Linked DNA regions of Lonchura striata. The protein of the gene in region 3 interacts with the protein of the main gene of each other region in a biochemical or structural test. Links are inferred from orthologs where the notes say so. Each region holds a gene or a part of one and is shown on either strand. Other genes may lie near its edges. The genes, in order: PRPF40A, TCERG1 and U2AF2.

The links.
Region 1: the proteins of U2AF2 (region 3) and PRPF40A form a complex in vitro, tested with the Homo sapiens proteins (2 studies listed by BioGRID). The link is inferred for Lonchura striata from reciprocal best matches to the Homo sapiens genes U2AF2 and PRPF40A.
Region 2: the proteins of U2AF2 (region 3) and TCERG1 form a complex in vitro, tested with the Homo sapiens proteins (2 studies listed by BioGRID). The link is inferred for Lonchura striata from reciprocal best matches to the Homo sapiens genes U2AF2 and TCERG1.

What each region holds. Positions count from the first base shown.
Region 1 is NC_134610.1:1,400,903-1,407,922, reverse strand, and holds the start of PRPF40A (pre-mRNA-processing factor 40 homolog A), read right to left. Parts: upstream 3,078-7,020; 5' UTR 3,025-3,077; coding exon 2,989-3,024; intron 611-2,988; coding exon 473-610; intron 1-472.
Region 2 is NC_134617.1:454,931-462,347, reverse strand, and holds the start of TCERG1 (transcription elongation regulator 1), read left to right. Parts: upstream 1-4,394; coding exon 4,395-4,619; intron 4,620-7,007; coding exon 7,008-7,160; intron 7,161-7,417. UniProt on the Homo sapiens protein: Transcription factor that binds RNA polymerase II and inhibits the elongation of transcripts from target promoters. Regulates transcription elongation in a TATA box-dependent manner.
Region 3 is NC_134640.1:2,651,019-2,658,702, reverse strand, and holds the start of U2AF2 (splicing factor U2AF 65 kDa subunit), read right to left. Parts: upstream 3,018-7,684; 5' UTR 2,867-3,017; coding exon 2,818-2,866; intron 1-2,817. UniProt on the Homo sapiens protein: Plays a role in pre-mRNA splicing and 3'-end processing. By recruiting PRPF19 and the PRP19C/Prp19 complex/NTC/Nineteen complex to the RNA polymerase II C-terminal domain (CTD), and thereby pre-mRNA, may couple transcription to splicing.

The DNA.
Region 1 (7,020 bases), on a different chromosome or scaffold from region 3:
TGTTTCCATTCAAAAAAAAGACTTGACTCAATTCCAATCTATGGACTGAAAAATAGAGGTGCATTAATTATCTTTTCCCATTCCAAAAAACATGAATCGATCCCAATATATTGATTGATAATTCAAGTTACAGGTGCATTAATTACCTTTTCTCCTTCCAAAAAACAACTTGAATCAATCCCAAATTCTGGATTGAAAATTAAGAGGTGCATTACATTATCTGTTTTCATTCCAAAAAACTTGACTCGATCCCAAATTCTGGATTGAAAATGAAGCTAGAGGTGCATTAATTACCTGCTCCCATACCAATTACTAACTGAAGTCACCAAGGTGCATCCACTCCCTGCTGCCCGTAAGAAGGGTTTTCCCCCGGTTAGGATAAACTCCCGAATTCTCTCCTCTCCCTCTCCCAGGGAGCTGGAGGGATCCCTTTTCCTGAGGGATGGAGCAGGAGCTGCTGGAATTGCCTTACCTGCCCCATCGGGGGTCCCCCCATGGGGGGCATCATCTGCGGCATCATCCCGTGGGGGACCGGGGGCATGTTGGGGGGTCTCTGCCCCATGGGGTGCATCCCCATCGGGGGGTAGTGGGGCATTCCCGGGTGGCCCATCTGGAAAACAACCAGGGAAAAAAATCAGCGGCGAGGCGAGCGCCCCAGACACACCCAGCAGGGGGAAAAGGAGATCCCCTTCCCTGGGCTTTTCAGGGATTCAAACACTCCCAGAGATTTCTGTTCCACAGCTCTCGGAGTTCCTTAGGATAAAACCCAGGCAGAGTTTCCATTTGGAAAATATAGTTAGCAGGAAAGGGAAAAAAAAAACCAAATTATTGAAGACACAATCCCAGAATGGTTTGGGTAGGAGGGACCTGAATGCCTCCAGTTTCAGCCTCTGGGACACCTTCCACTGTCCCAGGTGCTCCAACCTAGCCTTGGACACTTCCAGGGATGAGGCAGCCTGGAATTCCACCCCAGGAATCCCCACCCTCACAGGGGAGGAATTCTCCCTTAATTTCCGCACCTTTCAGTTTTTCAATGATTCCTTCCTTGTGTGGGTGACAGGTGCCCAGAGAGGGTTTGGGGGGCAGGGACTCATGCCCAAAAAGCCCCACCTGCACACGAGTAGGAACTTCTTCCTGTGTGGGCTCCAGGTGCCAGAGAGGGTTTGATGGGCAGGGAGTGATGCCCAGGAAGTGCCTCCTGCACACTACCAAGAATTCCTTCCCTGTGCGGGCATCACTGCCCAGAGAGGGTTTGGTGGGCAGGGACTGATGCCTAGGAAGCCCCACCAGCACAGGACCAAGAACTCCTTCCTTGTGTGGGTGACAGGCAGGGACTGATGCCCAGGAATGCCACCTGCACAGGAGCAGGAACTCCTTCCCTGTGAGGGTGTCAGGTGCCCAGAGAGGGTTTGATGGACAGGGACTGATGCCTAGGAAGTGCCACCTGGAAGTGCCACTTGCACAGAAGCAAGAACTCCATCCTTGCGTGGGTGACAGGCAAGGACTGATGCCCAGGAAGTGCCACCTGCACAGGAGCAGGAACTCCTTCCTTGTGTGGGCTCCAGGTGCCCAGAGAGCTCTGATGGGCAGGGACTGATGCCCAGGAACACAAGCAAGAACTCCTTCCCTGTGTGAGCTCCAGGTGCCCAGAGAGGGTCTGATGGGCAGGGACTGATGCCCAGGAAGTGCCACCTACACAGGACCAAGAATTCCTTCTCTGTGTGGGTGACAGGCAGGGACTGATGCCCAGGAATGCCACCTGCACAGGAGCAGGATCTCCTTCCTTGTGTGGGCTCCAGGTGCCCAGAGAGGTCTGATGGGCAGGGACTGATGCCCAGGAAGTGCCACCTGGAAGTGCCACTTGCACAGAAGCAAGAACTCCATCCTTGCGTGGGTGACAGGCAAGGAGTGATGCGCAGGAATGCCACCAGCAGAGGACCAAGAATTCCTTCTCTGTGCAGGTGACTATCAGGGACTGATGCCCAGGAATGCCATCTGCACAGGAACAGGAACTCCTTCCTTGTGTGAGCTCCAGGTACCCAGAGAGGTCTGATGGGCAGGGACTGATGCCCAGGAACACAAGGAAGAACTCCTTCCTTATTCGGGCTCTAGATGCCCAGAGAGGGTCTGATGGGCAGGGACTGACGCCCAGGTAGTGCCACCTGCACAGGAGCAGGAACTCCATCCTTATACAGGTGCCAGGTGCCCAGGGAGGATTTGACAGGCAGGGACTGATGCGCAGGAATGGCACCAGCAGAGGAACAGGATCTCCTTCCTTGTGTGGTCTCCAGGTGCCCAGAGAGGTCTGATGGGCACGGACTGATGCCCAGGAACACAAGCAAGAACTCCTTCCCTGTGCGGGCTCCAGGTGCCCAGAGAGGGCTTTACAGACAAGAACCGATACCCACGAGGTGCCACCTGCACAGGAGCAGGAACTCCTTCCCTGTGTGGGCTCCAGGTGCCCAGAGAGGGTCTGATGGGCACGGACTGATGCCCAGGAACACAAGCAAGAACTCCTTCCCTGTATGAGCTCCAGGTGCCCAGAGAGGTCTGATGGGCAGGGACTGATGCCCAGGAACACAAGCAAGAACTCCTTCCCTGTATGAGCTCCAGGTGCCCAGAGAGGTCTGATGGGCACGGACTGATGCCCAGGAACACAAGCAAGAACTCCTTCCCTGTATGAGCTCCAGGTGCCCAGAGAGGTCTGATGGGCAGGGACTGATGCCCAGGAACACAAGCAAGAACTCCTTCCCTGTGCGGGCTCCAGGTGCCCAGAGAGGTCTGATGGGCAGGGACTGATGCCCAGGAACACACGCAAGAACTCCTTCCCTGTGCGGGCTCCAGGTGCCCAGAGAGGGTTTTACAGACAAGAACCGATACCCAGGAATCCCACCTGCACAGGAGCAGGAACTCCACCCCCGCGCGGGCCAGCTCCCCGAGCCCGTTCATGGATTTGCCCCCGCTCCCCCGGCCCGGCGCGGCACTGACCATGAGCGAGGCGCGGTCCACGGCGGCGGGGCGCATGGCGGGGCTGAGCAGCGAGCCGCCGCAGCGGCCCAGCAGGCGGCCGCGCAGGGGCGGGCGCGGCGCGGCGGGCCCGAAGGGCAGCAGCGGCTCGGGCTCGCCGCGGGGCGGCAGCAGCGGCGCCAGCAGGCTGACCGGCTTCCCCGCCGGCCAATCGGGCCGCGCCGCCAGCCGCGCGCTCTTCGGCGATTGGTCCGCGCCCGAGCCCACCGGCCGCACCGCGTCGCCCGGAGTCAGCTGCATCAGGGGCGGCGGTTTCGGCAGAGAGAACGGCAGAGGCTGCGGGGAGGCGGCGGCGGCCGCGGCGGTGGAGTCGCCGCCGGACATGCTGGCGGGGAGCGGGGCGGCCCCGCGGCGGCGCGGGCGGCTCGGCCGGGAGCGCGGCGCGCGGAGCGGAGCGGCGGCTGCGGCGGCCGAGCGCGGGGCACGCCGGGAGAGCGCTCACGTGGGGCCGGGGGAGGTGCGCGCTGCGCCGGGCGGCACCAACAGCGCCGGAAGGAGGGGGTGGTTTCGCGCGCCGCAGCTCCAACTCGGCGGGAGGTGGCGGTAGAGCTCCCCTCAGGCGGACGCGGGTGGTACGCGCCGGGTCAGTGTACCCCCCCCTCTGCGTGACGGTGGTACGTGCCGAGCGCGGCCGGGGTGGCGCCGGTCCCCCCCCCGGGCCGCGCGCAGTGGTTGGTGCCGCTGAGGGGAGCGGCCGCGGGGATCGGGAATGGGAACCGGGAATGGGAATGGGAACCGGGAATGGGAACCGGGAATGGGAACAGGAAATGTCCCGCTGGGATCGGGAATGGGAACCGGGAATGGGAACCGGGAATGGGAACAGGGAATGGGAACCGGGAATGGGAACAGGGAATGGGAACAGGGAATGGGAACCGGGAATGGGAATGGGAACCGGGAAATGGGAACAGGGAATGGGAACAGGGAATGGGAACAGGGAATGTCCCATTGGGAATGAGGAATGTCCCGCTGGAACCGGGAATGGGAACCGGGAATGGGAACAGGGAATGGGAACCGGGAATGTCCCTCTGGGATCGGGAATGGGAACCGGGAATGGGAACCGGGAATGGGAACCGGGAATGGGAACAGGGAATGTCCCGCTGGGATCGGGAATGGGAACAGGGAATGGGAATGGGAACCGGGAAATGGGAACAGGGAATGGGAACAGGGAATGTCCCGCTGGGATCGGGAATGGGAACAGGGAATGTCCCGCTGGGATCGGGAATGGGAACAGGGAGTGGGAACCGGGAAATGGGAACAGGGAATGGGAACCGGGAAATGGGAACAGGGAATGTCCCTCTGGGATCGGGAATGGGAACCGGGAGTGGGAACCGGGAAATGGGAACAGGGAATGGGAACCGGGAAATGGGAACAGGGAATGTCCCATTGAGAATATGGGAATGTCCCTCTGGGATCGGGAATGGGAACCGGGAGTGGGAACCGGGAAATGGGAACAGGGAATGGGAACCGGGAAATGGGAACAGGGAATGGGAACAGGGAATGTCCCATTGAGAATATGGGAATGTCCCTCTGGGATCGGGAATGGGAACCGGGAGTGGGAACCGGGAAATGGGAACAGGGAATGGGAACCGGGAAATGGGAACAGGGAATGTCCCATTGAGAATATGGGAATGTCCCATTGGGAATGGAGAATGTCCCGCTGGGATTGGGAATGGGAACCAGTAATGTCCCATTGGGAACCGGAAATAGGAACCGGGAATGTCCCATTGGGAACCGGGAATGTCCCATTGGGAACCGGGAATAGGAACCGGGAATGTCCCATTGGGAACCGAGAGTGTCCCGCTGGGATCGGGAATGGGAACCGGGAATGTCCCATTGAGAACCAGGAATGTCCCATTGGGAACCGGGAATAGGAACCGGGAATGTCCCATTGGGAACCGAGAGTGTCCCGCTGGGATCGGGAATGGGAACCGGGAATGTCCCGTTGGGAACCGGGAGTGTCCCGCTGGGAATGTCCCATTGGGAACCAGGAATGTTCCATTGGAAATGTCCCATTGGGAATGGGGAGTGTCCTGCTGGGGATCAGGAATGTCCCGGAGGAATGGGCAGTGTCCCATTGGGAATGGGGAATGTCCCGTTGGGAATCGGGAATGTCCCGCTGGGATCGGGACGCGCTCCGGGAGCTCTGGCAGCTGCGAGGCCGTGGCTGTGCCAGGGGCAGCCTCAGCTTCTTTGGGAATTCCAGCCCACCCTCCCAGCCAGAATTCCCAATTCCCAAAATCCCTCCCAGCCAGAATCCCCAATTCTGCGGGATAAATGAATTTAAGTGGGGACTCCAAAGCGGAACGACTCAGGATATCCAGGGAATGATCTCTGCCCCCTTGGCATGTTTATTTATCCATGTTTTTCTTCCTGAAGTTACAAAACTTGGAATATTTTCCTGTCCCCTGCCCATGTCTCGTTCTTCCCCTTGAGCAGAGGGATCGTCAGGGATGTGGATTTATTTTCCATGATATTCCTGGATTTCCACACGCCTCCACGGTTTTCAAACACCTCATTTTGCATTTTGGGGTACAGATATTTAATCAATCCCGTGGCTGCTGTCAGCCAGGGGCTGGTTTGGCTCGGCTCATGGAAATATGGAATTATTGGGATAAAAAAGGACAAAAATTCCTGCAATCCCACATTCCCGTGGGCAGGGACACCTCCCCTCTCCCAGGTTCTTCCTTGGACTCTTGGGATAAACACCAACCCTCACCTCCCCGAGCTTAAAGAATTCTCTAAATCCACCCAAAAAGGTCTTGATTAATCCGATTTTTCGGCCATGATCAAGCAGTGAAATTAAAATTTAAATTGATTTTCAATTAAATCTTGAAATCTCATTTCAGTCTCTCCCGGTGTGCAGGGAGCAGAGCTCCAGCGGGGCACAGCTGCTTTTGGCAGCCCAAGGTGTAACTTTAGTACTTGGAGTATTTTTATTTCTTTATTTTTAAGCACAGCTGCCTCAAATCAGTCCAAATCAAGTGAATTGATTTAATTTTTTTTCCTGATTTTTTAAACTTTTTTTTGTGTTTTTACAGAAATTTTGATAGAGCATCCAATCCTTCACTCTTCTTCCTGATCCTGGAGGAAACTTCTGCTTTTTAACCTGGATTTTCAGGCAGGATTTGTAGGAAATACAGAACTCCAAAATTTTTTAAAAATTGTAATACAAATTCTGAAATAAGAGAACTTTGAAGTAAAAATTCTGAAATAAAACTTTTGAATTGCAGATTCTGAAAATAGAAATTCTGAAAATAGAAATTCTGAAAATAGAAATGCTGAAATAAAAATTCTGAAATAAAAATTCTGAATTGCAGATTCTGAAATAGAAATTCTGAAATAGAAATTCTGAAATAAAAATTCTGAATTGCAGATTCTGAAATAGAAATTCTGAAATAAAAAAATCTGAGCTGAAAGTTCTAAAATAGAAAACTGTGCAATGTAAATTTGAAAACGCAAACTCTGAGATAAAAAACCCCGAGACGCAAATTCTGAAATGCGAATTCAGGAATAAAAACCTCCAAAATAAAAACAGAAGTGAAAATTCTGAAATAAAAATTCAGGAACGCAAATTTTGAAATAAAACCCCTGAAATTTAAATTCTGCAACGCAAATTCTGAAACATGGAATTCTGGAATATAAGATATTTGGGACAATGAGCTCTGGAATTCCCTTTCCATGGAATTTTACCTGTTAGCTGGAATATATTTAACCAGTGATCTTTATTTTTTCTCGTAGAAAAACTTTTATTTCCTGTAAACTGAATATAAAATTGCTCTCGGGTGTTTCCCAGGATTTCCTGTGGAAAGGCAGAGAATTCCAGGCGAATTCCTGGAGCGGCCAGCAGGGAGAGGGCTCGCACAGGGAATCTCGGCTTGTCCCGGCATCCTGAATCGGCGGCCGGGCAAGGAGGGAAAGGAGAGGACTTGGAAATGGATTTTTCATTTCCCGTGCCTTTGGAATTCTGGCATTCCCGGGAAAACGCGGTTTGGC
Region 2 (7,417 bases), on a different chromosome or scaffold from region 3:
ACTCGCAGGGCCAGTGGCACTGTCCCCGCAGGCCAAGGAGCTGCAGAGGTGATGTGCTGCAGGCAGCCGGGCCGGGCTCTGCTCTGCTGGGCTCTTTGCAGCCATCACCTCCAGTGAGCTCCTTTGGGCTAACCCCTGCCCTGCCTGACACGGGGCACCTCTCAGACCCCCCGGCCATCTGCTGCTCTTACCATGGCTGAGCCTGCACCCCTTTTTCCCTGTAGGAGGGAATCTGCAGGCTCCATGTGTAGAGGAAAAAATGGGATGTTTTCATGTAACTACAGGGAAAGCCTGGGACCAGACTGGGGAGCTCCGTGCCCAGAGTCTGGGTGCAGCACACCGAGCCGTGCTGCGCCATGCCCACACACAGGAGGTGCCCTGTTAAATTTCAGTAATGCCCAGTCCCACTTGCTCCCCACAATGCCCAGATGCCCAGATGCCCCACGAGGCCTTAGAACTCGCCAGCCCAGCTCCAAGGCTAAGCAGGGGCACAGCAGCCATGGCCCCCAGGGCCCCCACGGCTGGAGGGGATGGGGGTCTCCCCATGGCCTCAGCCCCAGCTCCAGCAGTGATCCGTGAGGCTGGGAAAGCGGGGCACCTCGGTGCCAGCAGGAGCCTCCCCCCACTGCCACCCTCCAGCATGGCATCTGGGGCTCTCCCTGGCAGATGCTGGCACCGCAGCAGCCCAGAGGCCCTGCAGACAGCTCAGGGCAAAATTTTTATTTGTCATCACACTTCAACCTGAAATCTGAAGAAATGAAAAAAGAATGGCAGGATGTTGGCGTCTCTGAGATGACACAACCCCATGGCTGCTGCAGCTCCGCGGCAGGGGCCAGTCCCAGCAGTGGGAGCCCAGAGCAGCTCAGGGGCTGCCACACTGCACCAGGAGCCTTGCTGCTGAAACCAGCTCAGGGACAGAGCTGCAACCGGGATGAAGAAGGCCACTCACCCTGGACCAAGAAAACACAAGAACATGGGCAGGTCTGAGGGGAACATCCACACTGTGGGGCTTCAGGATTCCTTCTGGCAGAGAACTCAGACTGTCATAAACAGCCTTTCAAAAACTACAGAGATCCAAATACTTGAGGAGGTCCCCAGTTGAAAACCTCCCTGGGAACAATTTCTGGGGCAAGAGCAGCAGCACTGGCAGCAGCAGAGCAGCTCTGTGCTGGTATCTGGCACAGCCAGCAGCTTTCCAGCCAGGGAACAACGGCTCTGGGAAGGGTTGGCAGCAGAGACAGGGGACCAGGGCTGCAGTGGGGGTTCCAGCTGCAGACTTTTCTGGGAAACCTGGATCCCCAGTGCACCCACAGCCATTCCATTTGCAGAATTCCATCAGCAGATCCACTAGCTCTGCAACGGGTGTGGGTGTGGGATTCCCCCAGAGAGATTTCCCCTGGCTCCAGGGCTTGCCACAGCCCCATTCCCCAAGGAGCACGGTCAGCAATGCCCTCCCAGCCCCAGGAACAGTCCCACGGCTTCCTGAGGGGATGAACAGAGCCTGCTGCTCAGTCCCCTGGCACCTGCACCCCCAGAGCCCACGGGAGTTAGGGAGAGTGTCCAGGCAAGCAGCCAGTCAAGCCTTTGGGATCCTTGGTTTCAGTGAAATCCAGGGAAGTGTGTATCAATCACAGTAAATTGTACTGCTGCCAAGAGCCACGTCCTGCAGCACAGGGAGCTGCCAGCAGATTTGTCAAAATGCCTCGTGTTTTGCAGCTCACTGCTAACCAACTGCCCCTGAAGGAGCTGCACGCTGAGAATTCCTGACTGGAATGTTCTGAGAACACAGAGATGAGGGAGCTAGGGTACAGCAGCAGCTCCAGCCCCCCTGAACCTGGGAGAAGGCCCTGCAGCTGCTCCCGCCCGCTTGACATCAATAAAACATGGAGACAACCGGGGAACAGGGAGATAAAAAGAGGATGAAAGACGCGTGGAAGACAGGCAGCCGCACTGTGTGTGGAGGATTTGAGCACTCGTGGGCAAAGCAGTTTTAATGTGTGGCACAGAAGTGCTGGTGAGGAGAGCAGAGGCACTGTGCAGGGCCCGGCCTGGGCACCGGGCAGACACACGGGCAGGCTCCGGGGAGCCCAGCACCCCCGGCCCATCCCAGACCTCACAGCGGCAGCAAAATCCAGCAAACCCCGAGAATACAGACCCCGCAGCGACACCGGGGTGGGTGAGTCTCCGTGGCTCAGCACCCCCAAAAGGCCCCCGAGGAATTCCCTATTGTCGATCTAAGAGAAGACAGATCTTCCTATTGAGAGCAGGAATGGGACGTGGGATCGCGAAAGCAGCTGCACGTCCCGGGAACACGTCCCTGGCGGCTCCTGCGCACCGAGCGCTGCAGCCGCCGGTGCTGCCCAGCAGCGCTGGATGTCCCCCAAACGCTCCCGGGGCTGGCAGTGCCCACCGCAGGGCTCACCCGGGGCTGGCAGTGCCCACCCGGAGCTGGAGCCCCCGGTTCTCCCCCGGTTTCCCGTTCCCCCAGACCCCCCCGGTTCCCCGGACACCCCGGTTCCCCGGACCCCTCCCGCTCCCCCGGTTTCCCGGACCTCTCCCGTTCCCCCGGTTCCCCCCTGGTTCCCCAGACCCTCCCCCGGTTCCCCGGACCCCTCCCGCTCCCCCGGTTCCCCCCCGGTTCCCCGGACCCCTCCCGCTCCCCCGGACCCCTCCCGCTCCCCCGGTTCCCCCCCGGTTCCCCGGACCCCTCCCGCTCCCCCGGACCCCTCCCGCTCCCCCGGTTCCCCCCCGGTTCCCCGGACCCCCCCCCCGGTTCCCCGGACCCCTCCCGCTCCCCCGGTTCCCCCCCGGTTCCCCGGACCCCTCCCGCTCCCCCCCGTTCCCCGGCGCCCCCGCGCACACAGCGCCCCCTGGCGGCCGCCGCGCTCCCCCCGCCGGGATCGCTCATTGGCTGAGCGCCCCGTGACGTCACGGGACGGGACATTCCCTGTGTGGTCTGGGGCTGCGGGCGCTGATTGGCGCATGTGGTTCCGCCCGCTGATTGGACGCTGCTCTTCCCCTTCCCCCTGCGGCGCGAGTCACTTCCGCTCCCCTCCCCGGGCCGCGCCTCACGTGACCGCAGGCGCGAGCGGCATGGCCAATGGCGGCGCGCCCGGCTCCCCCCATTCAGAGCCGGCGGGCGCGGCGGCCAATGGCGGGGCGGGCTGGGCCCCGCGCGCGCTGACGGGAGGGCCGGACGGCCAATGGCGGAGCGGGCTGGGCCCCGAGCGCGCTGACGGGCAGGCCCGACGGCCAATGGGGCGCGGCGGGGCCCGCGGGGGGGTGGGGCGGCTGCGCGCGACGGCGGCGGCCATGGCGGAGCGGGGCGGCGGCGGCGACGGGGAGGCGGCGGCGGCGGGCGAGCGCTTCGGCACCGACCTCCGGTACGGCGGCCGGGCCGGGCCGGGCCGAGACCGGCGTGCCCGGCGGGGCCGGGGCTGGCGGGGCGGGCCGGGGCGGCTCTCCCGCCCGCATTCCCGCCCCGCGTGCGACGGGACGGGCCCTGTTCCCGCTCACCGGCCGGGGCCGCTCCCGGGCGTGGGGCCGGGCGGCGGCGGCTCCGCTCCGGGTGCGGACAGGCCGCATCTGGTGTCGTCCCCCGCCTGGGCCCCCACTGGCCCGTTGTGTGGCCCTACGCTCGGGGCTGGTAAAGCCGTGTCCCGGAGCCGCAGGGCAGCGTGCGCCGCTCCGGACGGCGGCGGGTTCTGAGAGCCCGTGCGGAGCGCCGGCCGGCTCAGCGCGAGACCGCGGCGCTCGGGCCGGGCCTGCCGGGGTCCGGCCCTGCCCCGGACACGGCCCTGCCCCGGGTCCGGCCCTGCCCCGGACACGGCCCTGCCCCGGGTCCGGCCCTGCCCCGGACACGGCCCTGCCCCGGGTCCGGCCCTGCCCCGGACACTGCCCTGCCCCGGTCCGTCCTCCCGGCACACAGAGCCCCTGGCAGCCCCGGCGCTGCAGAGCCGGCACTCCGGGCACGGCCGGCCGCAGGGCCCGGACGCAGTTGCAGGCAGCAGCCCGAGCTCCAGGTCGTGCTCAGGAGCTCTGGCAGATAAGGAAGGATGCGCTTCCCAGTGGCTGCCTACCCCATCCCAGCTCTGCTGTCCTTACTGTTGGTGTAGTGTCTGTTGGTTCTCTAAGAAAGGAAATCTGCTTGAAATTGTATTGTTGTTATCTGCTTGGCCATTTGCACGAGGCGAAATTCACACTTGAGCACTGATAACCTCTAATTGTGTGGCAGAAGTACATGTTGAAGTAGTCACACATTTGGTTTCACCCGCTCAAACGTGACCCGTTTGGCTCCCGCTGTCGGTGTCTCGGTTTCCCCGGATCCTGCCGCAGCTGGTCCCCGTGCAGCCGCGGCCGGCAGTGACCCGTGTTCCTGTGCCTCTCTCCGCAGGATGGCTCAGCAGCAGGCGCTGCGGTTCCGTGGCCCCGCGCCGCCCCCCAGCGCGGTGCTGCGCGGCCCCCCGCCCCTCCTGCGGCCGCCCCCGCCCTTCGGGATGATGCGGGGCCCTCCTCCGCCCCCCCGGCCCCCCTTCGGCCGACCCCCCTTCGACCCCAGCATGCCCCCGATGCCGCCGCCGGGGGGGATCCCCCCGCCCATGGGGCCTCCGCACCTGCAGGTAAGGCGTTCTCCGGAGTTGGTTAGGTGGCATTCAGGGGGTTTCGTTTGCTTTCACACATGGAGGTGTCCACCTCTGGGCTCCTCGAGTTCAGGAAGGACGTGGAGGTCTGGAGCGTGTCCAGAGAACCGCAGTAGAGCTGGTGGAGAGTCTAGAGTACAAGTCTAGGGCAGCTGAGGGGCAGCTGAGGCATCTTGCAGGGCTCAGCATGGACAAAAGGAGGCTCAGGGTGGTGCTGGAGTCCCCTTCCCTGGAGGTCTCCAGGGAACAATGGGATGTGGCACTCGGTGCTCTAGGCCGGGTGACAAGGTGCGGATGGGGCACAGGTTGGACTCGATGGGCTGGGAGGTCTTTTCCAATGTAACTCGTCTGTGATTGTGTGGAGATAGTGTGAGAATGGACACTGAAGTGGGTGAAGGAACAGGAAGGCAGGATGAGAGCACAGTGTTCAGGTGAGGTGTTACACCCCTCTGCATACCTGTGCTGTGCAAATACAGTTTTTGCTCAGCTCCTCTGCTGCTAAACTGATGGATGGTTTAAGGTCTTGTGTTTGATTTTCTAAGGCCTGAGTTTGCAAGGGACAGCACCTTTGTGAATGAGAAAGGGATTCTGTTATTTAATAGCTTTGTGGGGGTGCCTTCCCATTAAGGCAGTATCAGTGCCGTGTGGGCCGTGGGTATGCTGAGGAGCTGAATGGCACCACGTGCCATTGTGGATTAAATCCACTATTTGTAATTACAGTTTGAAGAACCAACCAGAGTTACTTTGGATGCCAGGCCTGGCTGTGGGTGTCTCCTGTGTTTGGTTTCCATGCAGGGAGTGCTGCTGCTCCCAGGTGTCACACAGGCTGTGAGCTCTGCCGCTCCTCAGCAGCCCCAGCCATGGCTGGTGTCTCGGGCTGGGCTGAGCTGAGCTCTGCTCCTGCTGAGGGCTCCGGCCAGAGGCAGGTGTGATGGGGAAGGGCCTCTGCTCAGAACGGGTGTGCTGGGACTCTGGCTGCACACCTGGCACTGACTGCCCGCCTGGTTTTACTCATGCACTGGGGAGAGGAGCTGTAGCAGGGAGAAATTGGGCTCCTTCTCATTGGATTCTTCATGCAAGTTGTAAGAGCAAGAAAGAGGAAGCTCATGGTGAAGCAGGTGCAAGAGCTGTTGGGGAAGAAGAAGGGAGGGAAGGCAGGCTGCAGTTGAGTTGAGGGCTTTTTTTGTTTGTGTAGAATGCCATCCATGTACTCTTGGCTTCCTTTTTTAGTAGTATTTAATGCAAATAATTGTTACTAGTTTGGTATGTGGATTTAAAGAGCAGTTTCAAATAGCACTCTTAGAGAGAAAGCTGGATCTCAGGGCAGCTCCCAGCAGAAGCCAAGGACATGGCAGCTCTGGCAGCTGCCAGGGGTACAGCTGCAGTTGTGGGTGCAGGGAGACAGCTCAGGGCCCCTGTGTGCAGCTTGTCCCCAGGCCATGGGCTGTCCTGGGTGTCCCAGCGCCAGGCCCGCCGTGGGCTCGGGGTGAGCACGGCACTCGAGGCTGTCATTCAGTCAGAGCTGGAGTGATGGGGACAATCGGGGCACTTTGGTGTTTAATAGTAATTTAACACTTTGGTGTTTAATAATGAGGGCACTTGTAGGTGTTTGCAGAGTGAGCTAAAGAACTCGGTGAGCTTTGTCAGCTTTTTACAGAAGCGTTCACTGTACTTGTTGCATATAGGGAATTTCAAACAGTCCAAGTAAATAAGTAAAATGAAAGAACTGAATGTACTTTGAATTACCAGAGGTGTTCAGGCTTTCAGGTAACTGTGTGCAGGACAGGTCAGGATTTCTTATCATGCAATAATGAACATGTAATTTCATATTTTTATTCTAATTAGCACTAGCTAGAATTTTAGTTAGTGGGAAATTTAGTTGTGTAATGTATTTTAATTAACACACTGCTCAGCTGTACTGACAAACTGGATGCTTACTTGTAATTTGGGTTTTTCTAACATATCTTTCCTGGGACGGTTGTTGTATTTCTGGGGTATTTGGTTCATAGATGGCAATGTCTGAGCAACAGCTATTTGGGTCTTCCATTCTTTCTCTTCCTTCCATTGACATATTTTCTTCTTTTCAGGAGAGGACTTTGACCACATTTCTGTTCATGCTACCTTTTTTAGGTGCCTGCACATTTGTATCTCAGAAGTGATGGCTTCAGCTGTTCTGCCATGGGTGGGGGGTTGGCTTGGGAGCACATTCCCTGAGCTGGGAGCACTGGATCATTAGAGAAGCTTCTAAGTCTGGCACAGCTGTCCTTACTGTTGGTGTAGTGTCTGTTGGTTCTCTAAGAAAGGAAATCTGCTTGAAATTGTATTGTTGTTGTCATTATCATCATTATTGTTATTATATGCCTTTAGAGACCACCATTTATGCCTCCTCCCATGGGTAGCATGCCACCACCTCCTGGTATGATGTTCCCTCCAGGAATGCCGCCGGTCTCCGCGCCGGGAACACCAGCAATGCCCCCAGCTGAGGAGATCTGGGTAGAGAACAAAACTCCAGATGGGAAGGTGAGATGGGGGCTGTGGGTGGTCCTGCTGTGACCCTGGGCACGCTGGCTGGGCTGGGATATCCAGGTGGTGGGGCCACCGTCCCGTGTTGTGGCAGGGCTGGGATATCCAGGTGGCTGGGATGCCTGCCATGGCGGGGCTGGGATGGCCTGGGTGGCAGGGCTGCTGTCCCACGGTGTGGCTGGGCTGGGATATCCAGGTGGCTGGGATGCATGCCGTGGCGGGGCCGCCGTCCCACAGTGAGCCTCAGTGTGACG
Region 3 (7,684 bases):
CAAAATATCCCAAAATAAACCTAAAATAAACCAAAATATCCCAAACTAACCCAAACCCCCGGTTCTCCTTGTCCCGCTCTGCAAGGGGAGAAAACACCCAAAATGCACCAAAATTAACCCAAAATGGCCCAAAATTAACCCAAAATGGCCCAAAATTAACCCAAAATAGCTCAAAATTAACCCAAAATGGCCCAAAATTAACCCAAAATAGCTCAAAATAAGCCCAAAATAAACCTAAAATAAACCAAAATATCACAAACAAGCCAAACCCCCGGTTCTCCTTGTCCCACTCTGCAAGGGGAGGAAAAGTCCCAAAATCAACCCAAATATCCCAAAATATCCCAAAATTTACCCAAAATATCCCAAAATAACCCAAAATATCCCAAAATAACCCAACATATCATAAAATAAACCCAAACTAACCCAAACCCCCGGTTCTCCTTGTCCCGCTCTGCGAGGGGAGAAAACACCCAAAATGGCCCAAAATTAACCCAATATGGGCCAAAATTAACCCAAAATGGGCCAAAATTAACCCAAAATGGCCCAAAAATCACAAAATAAACCCAAAATATACCCCAAATCAACCCAAAATATCCCAAACTAACCCAAACCCCCGGTTCTCCTTGTCCCACTCTGCGAGGGGAGAAAACACCCAAAATGGCCCAAAATTAACCCAAAATGGCCCCAAATTAACCCAAAATAGCCCCAAAGATACCCAAAATATCCCAAAATAAACCCAAAATAAACCTAAAATAAACCAAAATATCCCAAACTAACCCAAACCCCCGGTTCTCCTTGTCCCGCTCTGCGAGGGGAGAAAACACCCAAAATGGGCCAAAATTAACCCAAAATGGCCCCAAATTAACCCAAAATGGCCCCAAATTAACCCAAAATGGCCCCAAATTAACCCAAAATGGGCCAAAATTAACCCAAAATAAACCTAAAATAAACCTAAAATAAACCAAAATAACCCAACATATCATAAAATAAACTCAAACTAATCCAAACCCCCGGTTCTCCTTGTCCCGCTCTGCGAGGGGAGAAAATACCCCAAAATCAACCCCAAAAAAGTGGAAAAAAACCAAAATTATCCCAAAATTGGTTGGGGGGGGGAAAAACCCAAAATTATCCCAAAACTGTGAGGGGAAAAATCCAAAATTATCCCAAAATTGGGAGGTAAAACCCCAAAATTATCCCAAAATTGGGGGGGAAAAGACCCAGAATTATCCCAAAATTTGGGTGGAAAAAACCCCAAAATTATCCCAAAATTGGGGGGGGAGGAAACCCCAAAATTATCCCAAAATTGTGAGGGGAAAAATCCAAAATTATCCCAAAATTGGGGGGGGAAAAGACCCAAAATTATCCCAAAATTTGGGTGGAAAAAACCCCAAATTCTCCCAAAATTGGGGGGGGAAAAAACCCAAAATTATCCCAAAATTGTGAGGGGAAAAATCCAAAATTATCCCAAAATTGGGAGGTAAAACCCCAAAATTATCCCAAAATTGTGGGGGAAAAACCCAAAATTATCCCAAAATTTGGGGGGGATCCAAAATTGGAGGAGGGGACCCCAAAATTTGGGGGAGGGGGTCACGAAGGATGAACCCAAAATTTGGGGGGATCCAAAATTCGAGGGGGGGGGTTCCCCAAAATTGGGGTGGGGTCAAAAATTGGGGAGGGGGGGACCCCAAATTCCCGTGGGGGGGACCCCAAATTAAGAGGGGAGTCCCCAAATTTGGGGAGGGGGGACCTCAAATTAGGAGGGGGGATCCCCAAATTTGGGGTGGGGGTCAAAAATTGGGGTGGGGGTCAAAATTGGAATGGGGGGGATCCCAAATTCGTGAGGAGGGACCCCAAATTAAGAAGGGGATCCCCAAATTTGGGGAGGGGGAACCCCAAATTAAGAGGGGGATCCCCAAATTTGGGGTGGGGGGACCCCAAATTTTGGGGTGGAGGTCAAAATTGGAATGGGGGGGGATCCCAAATTCTTGAGGAGGGACCTTAAATTAAGAGGGGGATCCCGAAATTTGGGGTGGGGGGACCCCAAATTTTGGGGTGGGGTCAAAATTGGAATGGGGGAGACCCCAAATTCGTGTGGGGGGACCCCAAATTAAGAGGGGGGTCCCCAAATTTGGGGTGGGGGGACCCCAAAAATTGGAGGTGGGGGACAAAATTGGGGTGGGGGAACCCCAAATTAAGAGCGGGGTCCCCAAATTTTGGGGTGGGGTCAAAATTGGGGTGGGGAAACCCCAAATTAAGAGGGGGGGATCCCCAAATTAGGGAGGGCGAACCCCAAAATTGGGGGTGGGGGTCAAAATTGGAGAGGGGGGACCCCAAATTAAGAGGGGGGATCCCCAAATTTGGGGTGGGGGAACCCCAAATTAAGAGGGGGGGGTCTCCAAATTAGGGAGGGCGAACCCCAAAATTGGGGGGGGGGGTCAAAATTGGAGAGGGGGGATCCCAAATTCGTGTGGGGGGACCCCAAATTAAGAGGGGGATCCCAAATTCGTGTGGGGGGGACCCCAAATTTAGAAGGGGATCCCCAAATTTGGGGAGGGCGAACCCCAAAATTGGGGGGGGGGTCAAAACCAATGGCGGACGAGCCCAATTTGGGGAAGGGGAGGGGGGGGCACCGAAAGTCGAACCCAAATTTTCGGGGGGAGAACCCAAACCGGGACTGGAGGAACCCCAAAACCGGGGGGGGGGGAACCCCAAATTTGGGCTGGGGTGGTGGGGGGGGGTCTCCCCCAATTTTTGGGGGGGTCTCCCCCGTTCCCCCCCCCCGTGAGGCGCGGCCCGTGGGGGGGGCGGGGCCGGTACCTTGTTTGTTCTCGTTCAGCTGCCGCTCGAACTCGTCGAAGTCGGACATGGCGGCGGCTCCCCGGGAGCCTCCCGGAGCTTTCCCGGCGCCTCCCCGGAGCTTTCCCGGAGCTCTCCCGGCGCCTCCCCGCTCCTCACGGCCGCCCTCAGGCCGCGCCGCCTCCGCCCGCGCTCCGCCGCTTCCGGCCGCGCTCGGCCGCTTCCGGCCGCGCCTTCGGCTCCTTCCGCCGCCGCTTCGGCAATTCCCGGCGGCGCTCGGGAACTCCCGCCAGCGCTCGGCGCTTCCGGTCCCGCTCGGAACTTCCGGCGCCGCTCGGGAATTTCCGGCGCCGCTCGGGAACTTCCGGCCCCGCTCGGCTTTTCCCGCCGCTTCCCGGCCCCGCTCGGGCCCGAAGCCCGCTCCCCTTTTTCCCCTTTTTCCCTTTTTTCCCTTTTTCCCCTTTTTCCCCTTTTTCCCCTTTTTTCCCCTTTTTCCCCTTTTGTCCTTTTTCCCCTTTTCCCCCTTTTTTCCCCTTTTTCCCCTTTTTCCCTTTTTCCCTTTTTCCCTTTTTCCCCTTTTCCCCTTTTTCCCCTTTTTCCCCTTTTTCCCCTTTTTCCCCTTTTTCCCCTTTTTCCCCTTTTTCCCCTTTTTTCCCTTTTTCCCTTTTTCCCCTTTTTTCCCTTTTTTCCCCTTTTTTCCCCTTTTTCCCCTTTTTTCCCCTTTTTTCCCTTTTTTCCCCTTTTCCCCCTTTTTTCCCTTTTTCCCCTTTTTCCCCTTTTTTCCCTTTTTCCTCTTTTTCCCCTTTTTCCCCTTTTCCCCTCTTTTTTCGGTCTTTTTTCCTTTTTTTCCCCTTTTTTCTGTCTTTTCTTCCCCTTTTTTCCCCATTTTCCCCTCTTTTCCCCTCTTCTCTCGGTCTTTTTCCCCTTTTTCCCCTTTTTTCTGTCTTTTTTTCCCCCCTTTTCCCCCTTTTTTCAGTCTTTTTTTCCTTATATTCCCCCTTTCCCCCCATTTTTCCCCTTTTTTCTGTCTTTTCTTCCCCTTTTCCCCCTTTTTTCAGTCTTTTTTTCCTTATATTCCCCCTTTTCCCCACATTTTTCCCCTTTTTTCAGTCTTTTTTTCATTTTATTCCCCCTTTTCCCCCATTTTTCCCCTTTTTTCAGTCTTTTCTTCCCCCATTTTTCCCCTTTTTTCAGTCTTTTTTTCCTTCCCTCCCCCTTTTTTCCCTTTTTTAGGCTTTTTTTTTTTCCCTTTTTCCCCTTTTGTGCCTTTTTTCCCCTTTTTCCCCCTTTTATTCCTTTTTTCCCTTTCCCCCTCTTTTTTCGGTCTTTTTTTTCCCTTTTTTCCCCTTTTTTCTGTCTTTTCTTCCCCTTTTTTCCCCATTTTCCCCTCTTTTCCCCTCTTCTCTCGGTCTTTTTCCCCATTTTTCCCCTTTTTTTCAGTCTTTTCTTCCCCATTTTCCCCCTTTTTTCAGTCTTTTTTTCCTTTTATTCCCCTTTTTCCCCCATTTTTCCCCTTTTTTCTGTCTTTTTTTCCTTCCCTCCACCTTTTTTCCTCTATTTAGTCTTTTTTTCCCCTTTTTCCGCTTTTGTGCCTTTTTTCCCCTTTTTCCCCCTTTTATCCCTTTTTTCAGTCTTTTCTTCCTTTTATTCCCCTTTTCCCCCCATTTTTCCCCTTTTTTCTGTCTTTTTTTCCTTTTTCTCCCCTTTTTTCCCCCTTTTCTTCCCCTGTTTTCCCTTTTTTCCCCATTTTTCGATCTTTTTTTCCCTCTTTTTCCCCTTTTTATAGTATTTTCTTCCTGCTTTTTCCCTTTTTCCCTTTTTTCGGTCTTTTTTGTCCCAGGTGTGCCAGGCCCAGCTGGGGCAGCTCTCAGAAAAAAAAAAACCAAAAATATTTTAATTTTTCATTTTTAAATTTCAATTTTTATTGACGGGAATTTCCCCACTCCGAACTTCCGGCGGCGTCACCTGGAGGCAAGACAACAAAGGGTTAATTCCAGCCCGAAATTCCCAAAATTTCCCCCAAAAATTCCCAAAATTCCCTCCAGAAAATTCCTGAAATTCCCACAAAAAATTCCCTCAGAAAATTCCTGAAATTCCCAAAAAAAATTCCCCAAAATTCTCCCCAAAAAAATTCCAAAATTCCCTCCAAAAAATTCCCAGAAGTACCGCAATAAAATTCCCAAAATTCCCCCCCAAAAATTTGGAAATTCCCCCAAAATATTCCCGAAACTCCCTTCAAAAATTCTCAAAATCCCAAAAAAAAATTCCCAAAATGCCCCCAAAAATTTCTGAAATTCCCCCAAAAATTCCCAGAATTCCCCCCCAAGAAATTCCCCTCCAAAAAAATCCCAAAATTCCCCCCCAAAAAATTCCCCAAAATTCTTCCCAAAAATTCTTGAAGTTTTCCCCCAAAATTCCCGAAATTCTCCCCAAAAAGTTCCCGACTTTCGCCCCAAATTGGGGGATTTGGGATTTGGGGCCCCCTCAGACCCCCCCGCGTGGGGGAGGGGCACAGGGATCCATCAGGGGTCAGAGCCCAGTGCTGCCATCACGGGGGGCCCCGAAATTCCCAAAATTCCAGCCCCGGATCCCGAAATTCCAACCTCGGATCCCGAAATTCCCAAAATTCCAGCCCCGGATCCCGAAATTCCCAAAATTCCAACCTCGGATCCCGAAATTCCAACCTCGGATCCCGAAATCCCCAAAATTCCAGCCCCGGATCCCGAAATTCCCAAAATTCCAGCCCCGGATCCCGAAATTCCCAAAATTCCAGCCCCGGATCCCAAAATTCCCAAAACTCCAGCCCTGGATCCCAAAATTCCCAAAATTCCAGCCCCGGATCCCGAAATTCCCAAAATTCCAGCCCCAGATCCCAAAATTCCAGCCCCGGATCCCGAAATTCCAACCTCGGATCCCGAAATTCCCAAAATTCCAGCCCCAGATCCCGAAATTCCAACCTCGGATCCCAAAATTCCAACCTCGGATCCCGAAATTCCCAAAATTCCCGCCCCGGATCCGGAAATTCCCAAAATTCCAGCCCCGGATCCCGAAATTCCAACCTCGGATCCGGAAATTCCCAAAATTCCAGCCCCAGATCCCATAATTCCAACGTCAGATCCCAAAATTCCAACCTCGGATCCCAAAATTCCAAAATTCCAACCCCGGATCCTGAAATTCCAACCCCGGATCCTGAAATTCCAACGTCGGATCCCAAAATTCCCAAAATTCCAGCCCCGGATCCCAAAATTCCCAAAATTCCAGCCCCAGATCCCAAAAACCCCCAAAAATAAATTTTAACCCTTTCAACCCCCCAAAAATCCCAATTTAACTCCCAAAAATCCAATTTTAACCCTTTTAACACCCCAAAATCCCAATTTTAACCCCAAAATCCCAATTTTAACCCCAAAATCCCCAATTTTAACCCTTTCAACCCCCCAAAAATCCCCAATTTTAACCCTTTCAACTCCCCACAAATCCCAATTTTAACCCCAAAAATCCAATTTTAACCCCAGAAACTCCCATTTTAACCCTTTCAACCCCCCCAAAATCCAACTTTAACCCTCGCAGCGCCCCCGAAGCACCCCCCGGACTGACGGAATTCCGGGAATTCCCGTTTTTCGGGAAGGCTCAGTCCTCCTCCTCGTCCTCGGCTCCACCGGCCCAGAATCCCATTTAAACCCAAAACCTTCCAATTTTAACCCCAAAATCCCCTTTAAAACTTCCAAAAATCCATTTTTAACCCTTTCAACTCCCCAAAAATCCCCAATTTTAACCCTTTCAACCCCCGAAAAATCCAATTTTAACCCCAAAACTCCCATTTTAACCCTTTCAACTCCCCACAAATCCAATTTTAACCCTTTCAACTCCCTAAAAATCCAATCTTAACCCCAAAATCCCCAATTTTAACCCTTTCAACTCCCCACAAATCCCAATTTTAACCCCAAAAATCCAATTTTAACCCCAGAAACTCCCATTTTAACCCTTTCAACTCCCCACAAATCCGATTTTAACCCTTTCAACTCCCCACAATCCCAATTTAACCCCCAAAACCCCCACGTTAACCCTTGCAGCGCCCCCCGGACTGACGGAATTCCGGGAATTCCCGTTTTTCCGGGAATGCTCAGTCCTCCTCCTCGGCTCCACCGGCCCAGAATCCATTTACACCCATAAAATCCCATTTAAACCCAAAACCTTCCAATTTTCACCCCAAAAATTCCTTTAAACCCTCCAAAAATCCAATTTTAACCCTTTCAACTCCCCAAAAAATCCCAATTTTAACCCCAAAAATCCAATTTTAACCCTTTCAACTCCCCACAAATCCCAATTTTAACCCCAAAATCCCAATTTTAACCCCAAAATCCCAATTTTAACCCCAAAATCCCCAATTTTAACCCTTTCAACTCCCAAAAATCCAATTTTAAATCCAAAAATCCAATTTTAACCCTTTCAAGTCCCCAAAAATCCCAATTTTAACCCCAAAACTCCCATTTTAACCTTTTCAACTCCCCAAAAATCCAATTTTAACCCTTTCAACTCCCCAAAAATCCCAATTTTAACCCCAAAATCCCCAATTTTAACCCTTTCAACCCCCCCAATCCAGTTTTAACCCTTTCAACTCCCCACAAATCCCAATTTAACCCCAGAAACTCCAATTTTAACCCTTTCAACCCCCCAAAATCCCAATTTTAACCCCAAAAATCCAATTTTAACCCCACAAATCCAATTTTAACCCTTTCAAGCCCCCACAATCCCCTCGCAGCGCCCCCGAAGCACCCCCGGACTGACGGAATTCCGGGAATTCCCGTTTTTCGGGAACGCTCAGTCCTCCTCCTCGTCCTCGGCTCCACCAGCCCAGAATCCATTTACACCCATAAAATCCCCTTTAAAC